2 linked regions of the Macaca fascicularis genome follow. The protein of the gene in region 1 binds, or shares a complex with, the protein of each later gene. Links are inferred from orthologs where the notes say so. Each region holds a gene or a part of one and is shown on either strand. Other genes may lie near its edges.

Region 1 (3,806 bases):
TGTGAGAGATTATAACGAGTTGTCCACTATTTATAAAGTTGCACAGGAATTCTGTTTCATCATCGCTGAGTGACACTCTTTGGTTGCAGGCCCCTTCCCTTTCATCCAAGACAGCATCTCATTCTATGCAACAATTGGTGTTTGTCTCCTCTTCATTGTCGTTTTAACCATGCTGATTTGTCACAAGTACAAAAAGGTAAAAGCAAAGGTAAAAATTCATTATTCTTTCCTCCATCTGCAGAACTGCCTATTCCTAACTGACTCGTCATTTCATCTCTGAAGCAATTTAGGTATGAAAGCCAGCTACAGATGGTACAGGTGACCGGCTCCTCAGATAATGAGTACTTCTACGTTGATTTCAGAGACTGTGACTATGATCTCAAATGGGAGTTTCCAAGAGAAAATTTAGAGTTTGGTAAGAGTGGAATGGGCCAAATGTTTCCACAGCATTTCTTCTCCATTGGGAAATCTTTCAAATGCACGTACTCACCATTTATCTTTGCAGGGAAGGTGCTAGGATCAGGGGCTTTTGGAAAAGTGATGAACGCAACAGCTTATGGAATTAGCAAAACAGGAGTCTCAATCCAGGTTGCAGTCAAAATGCTGAAAGGTACAGTATAGTGGAAGAACAGCAACAAAGATGCACAAAAATGGGAGGCACGGTTTCCCACCCATGCCTTCTTCTTTTCCATCCTTTGAATGGTTACTATTTGCCATGTTTCGAGGCTAAAAATGGAGTGGATTGGGATGAGTGTCAAGCCAGTCATGAGTACAAAATTCAAGTCATAAATACAAAGCTCCACCTCTTCTTCCACTTCTCTCTTTGTTTATTTTTATTTTATTTTATTTTATTGAGATAGGGTCTCACTCTGTCACCTAGGCTGGAGTACAGCAGTGTGATCATGGCTCACTGCAGCCTCCGCCCCCTGGGCTCAGGCTCCTCAGCAGCTGGGGATACAGGCGCGCACCACCACGCGCAGCTGATTTTTGTATTTTTGGTGAAACGAGGTTTCACCATGTTGCCTAGGCTGATCTGAGCTCAAGCTATCTGCCCGCCTCGGCCTCCCAGAGTGCTGGGATTACAGGTGTGAGCCACTGTGCCAGGCCTATTTAGTTTTTATAGGCTTTGATATTTGGGGATACAGTTGCCACAGGCAGAAGTTCTTTCTTCCGTCTGTGTTGTTGTTGTTTTGTTTTATTTTTAGAGACAGGATCTTGCTCTGTTGCCCAGGCTAGAGTGCTGTGATCATAGCTCACTGCAACTTCGACCTCCTTGGCTCAAGCGATCCTCTCACCTCAGCCTCACGGGAGTGTGCCAATACAATTGGCTAATTTTGTTTTTATTTTTTTGTAGAGATGGTGTCTCACCATATTGCCCAGGCTGGTTGCAAACTCCTGGCTCAAGTGAGGCTGTCTTGGCCTCCTAAAGTGCTGGAATTACAGGTGTGGGCTGAAACAGACTCTGGGTAGGACAGTAAATTGGGGCCCTTCGTATCCTCACTTCATTGCTCCATCCATTCCGATCTGGCGTCCAGCCTCATTATTGGCCTCCCCGTTACCACCGCTGACTCAGCAAAAGCACCTCCAGCTGACTCTCTTGCTAAGGTCAACAGTGACCTCAAACCAAGCCTAATGGATATTTGTCAGTCCTCATTACTTGATTGTTCAGCATGAATTGATGCTGTTGACTCTTCTCTCCATCTAGAAACTTTCTTTCTTTGGGTTTTGTGTCGCCGTATTCTGGTTTTCCTCCCACCCCCCTGCCCTTCTCAGTCCTTTGTGAGCTCATCTTCTTCCATCCAGCTTTGGTTGCTGTGGCTGTTTTTGAAACACAGCCTCGCTCTGTCACCCAGGCTGGAGTTCGGTGGTGTGATCTCAGCTCACTGCAACCTCCACTTCCCAGGCTCAAGCCATCCTCCCACTTCAGGCTCCTGAGTAGGGGGAACTACAGGCTTGCGCCACCATGCCTGGCTAATTATTGTATTTTTGGTAGAGATGGGGCTTTGCCATGTTGCCTAGGCTCCATCCAGCTTTTTAGGGGGCATCCCTGTAGGCTTGCTCCTGGACCGCCTTGCATTTCTGCTCCACACACTCAACACAGTCCATCCCCACTATGCCCGTGATGTCCTCCCATACACCAATGGCCCTCATGCTTGTATCTCGCTTTGGAGCTTCAGGTTCACGTATTAAATGTTTGGATGTCTCAAAGTTCCCTTTAACACAGTGTATCCAAGGTGAACTCCCCTAACCCTGGTCCTGCACCAGCGGTCCTCTCTGTGACTGGTAATGAATGCCAGTGAATAAATAACCACATTCTATATAGTTGGGCACACTAGGAACCCGTGACTTTTCCTTGACACCTTCCTCTTTCTAACACCCTGTGAGCCAATCCTATCAGGTTTCCGCTTAGTGTCTCTTGATTCCATCCTTGTCCCTCCATCTCTATTACCACCACCCTAGTTCAAGGCTCTCTCCTGGACGAAAGCTTCCAAAGCAAGTTCCTGTATCCACTCTTGCCTCCCTTTGGTTTCTCCATGCTGAGGTGCAAGTGACAGTGATGAAAGGCTAAGCAGATCAAATGGCTTTCCTACTTCGCATTTCCTCCACCACCCGCATGGCTGGGCCGCCGCCGCCTCCCCAGCTCTTGTTCTCAGCACCCAGAGCACTGGCCTTCTTTCAGTTCCCCCAGCACTGTCCTCCCGCCCACTGTGGGGCCTTTGCACAAGTGGATCCTTCTGCTTCCCCTTCCCCTTTCATGTAGGTATCTCCCACTGCAACCTCAGATCTCAGCTTAAACACCACTTCCTCTGTCTCACACCACAGACAATATTGAAGCCCTTACAATGTGCGACATTAGCTTTCTGCAGACTTTCCCCCGTAGAATCCGTCACCTTTGTCACGACATGTGTTTAATATCCAGTTGCTGTCCCATCTGTCCAGCAGCCCCTGTGCCTCATGAGGGCAGGGTCTGTGTCTGTGGTGCTGTGCCCTCTCCTTTCTCGACCTCTGCACACTCTTTCACAACCCTCGGCACCGTTCTCCTCCCCCTCCACCATGGCCAGCTCCCGTTTTTCTTCAGGACTCAGTTTAGACATTGAATGCTCCTTTCCCCACCCCTCAAAGGCTAAGGTAGCTGTCCCTTTTGACCCTACAGAACCCCTGCATTCCTTTGCCAGTTCGCATTTTTTCTTTTCGTTTTTTTTTTGAGATAGGGTCTCAGTCTGTCACCCAGGCTGGAGTGCAGTGGAGTGATCATAGCTCAATGCAAGCTTGAAGTCCTAGGCTGAAGTGATGGTCTGTCCATGACCTTTCCAGTAGCTGGAACTACACGCATGCACCATCACGCCCAGCTAATTTTTATTTTATTTTATTTTTAAGCAGAGATGAGCTCTCGCTATTTTGCCCAGGCTGGTCTCAAACTCCTGGGTACCAGCAATTCTCCCGCTTGCCTCAGCCTCCCACGATGTTGGGATTACAGGCCCACACCTTGCCTGCCATATTGCATTTATGGCACTGTATTGTAATGGCTTATTTACTTCTCTGCCTTCTCCAGGAGACTCTAAACTCCAGGAAGACAAGAGTTGTGTATTGTTTATCCTTCATTCCCCAGCGTCTAGGATATTGGCTCTTACACAGTAGGCACTCAATAAATACTTATTGAATGACTGAATGAAAGAGGTAATAGTATATGAAAGTGTTTAGAAGAAGCAAAGCATGCCAAAAAATATAAGAGATTATTTTAGCCATGAGGAATAGGACATGAACAAGTGAAAGCCCCGGATCCCTGTCCAGCGTGAAGCTGAAGA
Region 2 (4,402 bases), on another chromosome or scaffold:
CAGGCATGGTGGCAGCACCTGAAATCCCAGCTATTTGGGAGGTGGAGGCAGGAGAATCTCTTGAACCCAGGAGGCAGAGGCAGAGCTTGCAGTGAGCCAAGATCGTGCCACTGCACTCCAGCCTGGGCAACACAGCGAGACTCGGTCTCAAAAAAAGAAAAAAAAAAAAGGAAGAGAGAGAGAGGAGTCTTTGGGAAGGCCACAGAGATTCCCTAGAGGTGGTAGGGCAGTAGGGCAGGACACACATTGAGGGGCCCCAGGACTTGGTCAGGAAGGAGCTAGAGCAGGTCCTTTGTCCATGGGCCACATGAGCTATTGGGGCTTGTATCTCTGCCTCTCTTTCTAGCCAGATGGAAGGTCTGATCAGTCAGTGCCACAAGGCAGCTAACCCAGGCTGAACAGGAAGTGAGGCAGGCAGAGGGATCAGGGAAGGGAAATGGATGGTGAAGGCCACGACGGGCGAGGCTTTGCTGCAGTAACACACAACCCCCAAATCTGCGTGGGCCACAACCACAACTTTAGTTTGTTCTTACACTCCCTGCGCTCACCCAGGGCTGGCAGGATCCCTGTACTCCTCTGAGTGGCACAGGAAACTTGGCTGATGGAGGCGCTCTCTCCATGCATCCTCCACCATCCATTCCCCAGACCCTTAGACTTCCATCTAGAAGTGACACCTGTCACCTCCACCCTCATGTGATTGGCCAAAGTGAGTGTGGCCATGTCCGAGTTCCCCAGGATGGGGCCTCGAATCCTTCTGCAGGGAAGAGGGGCCAGCAGATGTTTGAGGACAGTCTGCCACGGATCGGATGGGTAAGCAAAAGATTCAGGCCAGGTGTGGTGGGTCACACCTGTAATCCCAGCACATTGGGAGGCTGAGGCAGGCAGATCACCTGAGATCAGGAGTTCAAGATCAGCCTCGCCAATATGGTGAAACCTCGTCTCTACTAAAAATACAAAAATTAGCTGGGCGTGATGGCACGCACCTGTAATTCCAGCTACTCAGGAGGCTGAGGCACAAGAATCGCTTGAACCCGGGAGGTGGACGTAGCAGTGAGAGGAGATTGTGCCACTGCACTCCAGCCTGGGCAACAGAGAGAGACCCCCTCTCAAAAAAAAGAAAAAAAACTTCAGAGATTCAGAGGTCCACAGATGTGGAAGAGAGCTTCTATTTTGTCTCATTTACCACCTCACTTCTCAGTTTGGAGTTGGAGAAACCGAGGCTTAGAGAGGTCAACGGGCTGGCCAAGCTCCCACAATGATAAAGCTAGGGCTAGGGCGACACCTGCCAGGCCCAATGTGACAAGATACATCCTGGGTCCTGTGTGCCAAGCCTTGGCGGGGCAAAGTTGGGGCCCAGAGGATGGTAAGACACAGCAACTCCTAGTTCCCAGAGACAGATCCGGGTTCCAGCCCCAGCTCACCATGCACTGGGCATGCCACCCAGGGAGTCAACCCCACTGCAGCCCCCGCCGCGGGGCGTCCAGGGAACCCACCATCTGCGGCGTGAGCGGCCGCCTCTCACCACCAGGGAGCGCGCTCTGCCTGGGCCCAGATTCCACCCCTGGACTGTCTCCCCCCAAAATTTTCCTTTCACTTTCGGTCTCTGGCTGTCACCCGGCTTGGCCCCTTCCACACCCAGCTGGGGCAAGCCTGGTGCGTGAGGAGACTTGGACTCTAGGTCCCCAAGGGGCGGAGCCAGGGTCCCCACTCCTGGGACAGGGGGAGCAGAGGGTGGGGGGCTGGGTTCCTGGGTCCCTAACCTGGGGAGGGTTCTGGGGACCATCGGGGTTCTTGGAAGTGGAGATGAAGAGTTTTCACCATAACTGGGGCCGACGCAGGAAGCCTGGGGGAGGAAGGGGCGGAAACTCAGCCACATCAAAGGGATGCAGGAGGGGCGGGGAGGCAAAGGGGCGGGCGGGACAGGGGCTGGGGCATGGGGGTCCGAGACTTGTTCTTCTGTCCCTTCCAAGACCCGGCCACAGGAGGCATGAGGGGCCCCCGGCCGAGATGACAGTGCTGGCGCCAGCCTGGAGCCCAACAGTGCGTAAATCCCAGGGACAAGGTCAGGGGAGAGGGGAGGCACAATGTCAGGATGGGGCGGGGGGGGGGAGATGGAGGGGAGGATAGATGGACAGAGGAGGGGGAAATACGAGGGGAGATGGATAGGAGAGGAGATGGACAGAGGAGGGGGAGATGGACAGAGGAGGGGGAGATGGACAGGAGGGGGAGATGGACAGGAGGGGGAGATGGACAGAGGAGGGGGAGATAGGAGAGGGAGATGGACAGAGGAGAGGGAAATAGACAGGAGAGGGAGCTGGACAGGAGGGGGAGATGGACAGAGAATGAGGAGATGGACAGGAGAGGAGATGGACAGGAGGGGGTATGGACAGAGGAGGGGGAGGTGAACAGGAGGGGGAGATGGACAGAGGAGAGGGAGATGAAGAGGAGGGGGAGGTGGACAGGAGGAGGGAGATGGACAGATGGGGAGATGGACAGAGGAGGGGGAGATGGACAGGAGAGGAGATGGACAGGAGGGGGTATGGACAGAGGACAGGGGAGATGGACAGAGGAGAGGGGAGGTGGACAGAGCCAAGAACGAATGAAGAGGACGTGGACCAAGATCAAGAGAGAAGCAGGCAACAGGGGTGTATAAGGCAGAGGGAGGAACAGGACTGGAGGAACCCGGGCGAGGAAAGCAGACGTGAGGATGAGGTGGTTGGAGACAGACGGGCAGAGTGGGGGAGATGGGAAGAGAGAGGGGTGGGGCAGAGGAGGATGCAAACTGGACGGCGTTGGACCAGAGGCAGAGAGAAACCGGGAAAGACGAGCAGAGATGGGGCCACGTCCCCGGAAAGTGTGGAAGAGGCGGAAGGACACCTGGGGAAGGAGGAGCGGGGAAGACAGAACAGTGCAGGTGGGAAGCCCGGAGGAGGGGGCTGTGTGTGGAACAGCGGAGGGCTCCCCTAGCGCCCCCTCCCCTGCAGACCTATCTCCTCCTGCTGCTGCTGCTGAGTTCGGGACTCAGTGAGACCCAGGACTGCTCCTTCCAACACAGCCCCATCTCCTCCGACTTCGCTGTCAAAATCCGCGAGCTGGTGAGAGGCGCTACCCGCTACCCCGGACCCCCTCACGTGATCCCCCTCCCTTTTTTTTTTTTTTTTTTTAAGTAGAGACGGGGTCTCTGTCCCTGTGTTGCCCAGGGTGGTCTTGAACTCCTGGGCTCAAGCGATCCTCCCACCTTGGCCTCCCAAAATGCTGGAATTACAGGCGTGAGCCACTGTGCTTAGGGGTATCCTCCCTCTGTGAAGTCAAAGTTCTGTGACTTCTTCTGGGCTCCCCTCTCTGGCTCTTTTCCCTCTCTCTCCGATTCTCTGCTGCCTCCTCTGGGTCTCCACAGTTCTGTTTCCCGCTGTCTTCAGCCAGGCCTGACTCTGTTTTCTCCCGCATGCAGTCTGACTACCTGCTTCAAGATTACCCGGTCACCGTGCCCTCCAACCTGCAGGACGTGAGTCATGTTGGGAGGGACCTGGGATGGAGGTGGGGACCACAGACTCAAGATGCCCCACCCAGGCGAGTGGATAACCTGGCCCTCCCCTCCCCAAACCCAGGAATCAGAGTCCCCGGCCCCTCCTCCCTCAGACCCAGGAACCCCGGCCCAGCCCCTCCTCCCTCCGGCCCAGCCCCTCCTCCCTCCGGCCCAGCAGCCCCGGCCCAGCCCCTCCTCCCTCAGACCCGGGGGTTCTCCCCACTAGGAGGAGCTCTGCGGGGCCCTCTGGCGGCTGGTCCTGGCACAGCGCTGGATGGAGCGGCTCAAGACTGTGGCTGGGTCCAAGATGCAAGGCTTGCTGGAGCGCGTGAACACGGAGATACACTTTGTCACCAAATGTGCCTTTCAGGTCAGCCCTCAACTTAGGGGACAAGTGAGGGGAGGGAGATGCCTTCGTACGCATTAGAAGTAAAGCTCCGCTAGGCCTTATTGGAGATTTATTTGGATCACAGCCACCCAAGGAAGGTAGAGCGAGAAGCTCTACCCGGCGGAGCTCTGTTCCTGCAGAACAAACACGTCCCCAGGCACCGGTGATGGGGAGCAGTCTGGTCCCATTCTGGGGCCCCGGTTTCCTAGGCCATGATGAAGGGTGCCACTGAGGGGTTCTTCCCCCGAAAAAAACTGGGGAGAAGAGGTCTCTAAAGTGAGAAGACCGCGCGCGGTGGCTCACTCCTGTAATCCCAGAGCTTTAGGAGGCTGAGGTGGGCGGATCACTTTAGGTCAGGAGTTCGAGACTAGCCTGGCCAACATGATGAAACCCCAGCTGTACTAAAAATACAAAAATTAGCCAGGCATGGTGGCTTGGGAATCGCTTGAACCCGGGAGCCAGAGGCTGCAGTGAGCCGAGATCATGCC

Evidence for each region.
Region 2: the proteins of FLT3 (region 1) and FLT3LG are in contact, whole or in part, in a crystal structure (PDB 7QDP), measured with the Homo sapiens proteins. The link is inferred for Macaca fascicularis from reciprocal best matches to the Homo sapiens genes FLT3 and FLT3LG. Residues at the interface, in NP_004110.2 of Homo sapiens: Asp180, His279, Gly280, Phe281, Gly282, Met300, Ser301, Thr302, Tyr303, Asn306, Arg307, Met309, Arg311, Ser333; in NP_001191431.1 of Homo sapiens: His34, Ser35, Pro36, Ile37, Ser38, Ser39, Asp40, Lys44, Lys87, Glu99, Asn102, Thr103, Glu104, His106, Phe107.

Annotation. Positions count from the first base shown.
Region 1 is NC_088391.1:7,957,910-7,961,715, reverse strand, and holds part of FLT3 (receptor-type tyrosine-protein kinase FLT3), read left to right. Parts: intron 1-89; coding exon 90-196; intron 197-282; coding exon 283-415; intron 416-505; coding exon 506-610; intron 611-3,806. UniProt on the Homo sapiens protein: Tyrosine-protein kinase that acts as a cell-surface receptor for the cytokine FLT3LG and regulates differentiation, proliferation and survival of hematopoietic progenitor cells and of dendritic cells.
Region 2 is NC_088393.1:57,426,986-57,431,387, forward strand, and holds the start of FLT3LG (fms-related tyrosine kinase 3 ligand), read left to right. Parts: upstream 1-1,592; 5' UTR 1,593-1,803; coding exon 1,804-2,040; intron 2,041-2,801; coding exon 2,802-3,095; intron 3,096-3,451; coding exon 3,452-3,505; coding exon of another isoform or gene 3,506-3,752; coding exon 3,753-3,896; intron 3,897-4,402. UniProt on the Homo sapiens protein: Stimulates the proliferation of early hematopoietic cells by activating FLT3. Synergizes well with a number of other colony stimulating factors and interleukins. Required for the development of B cells, and dendritic cells (DCs).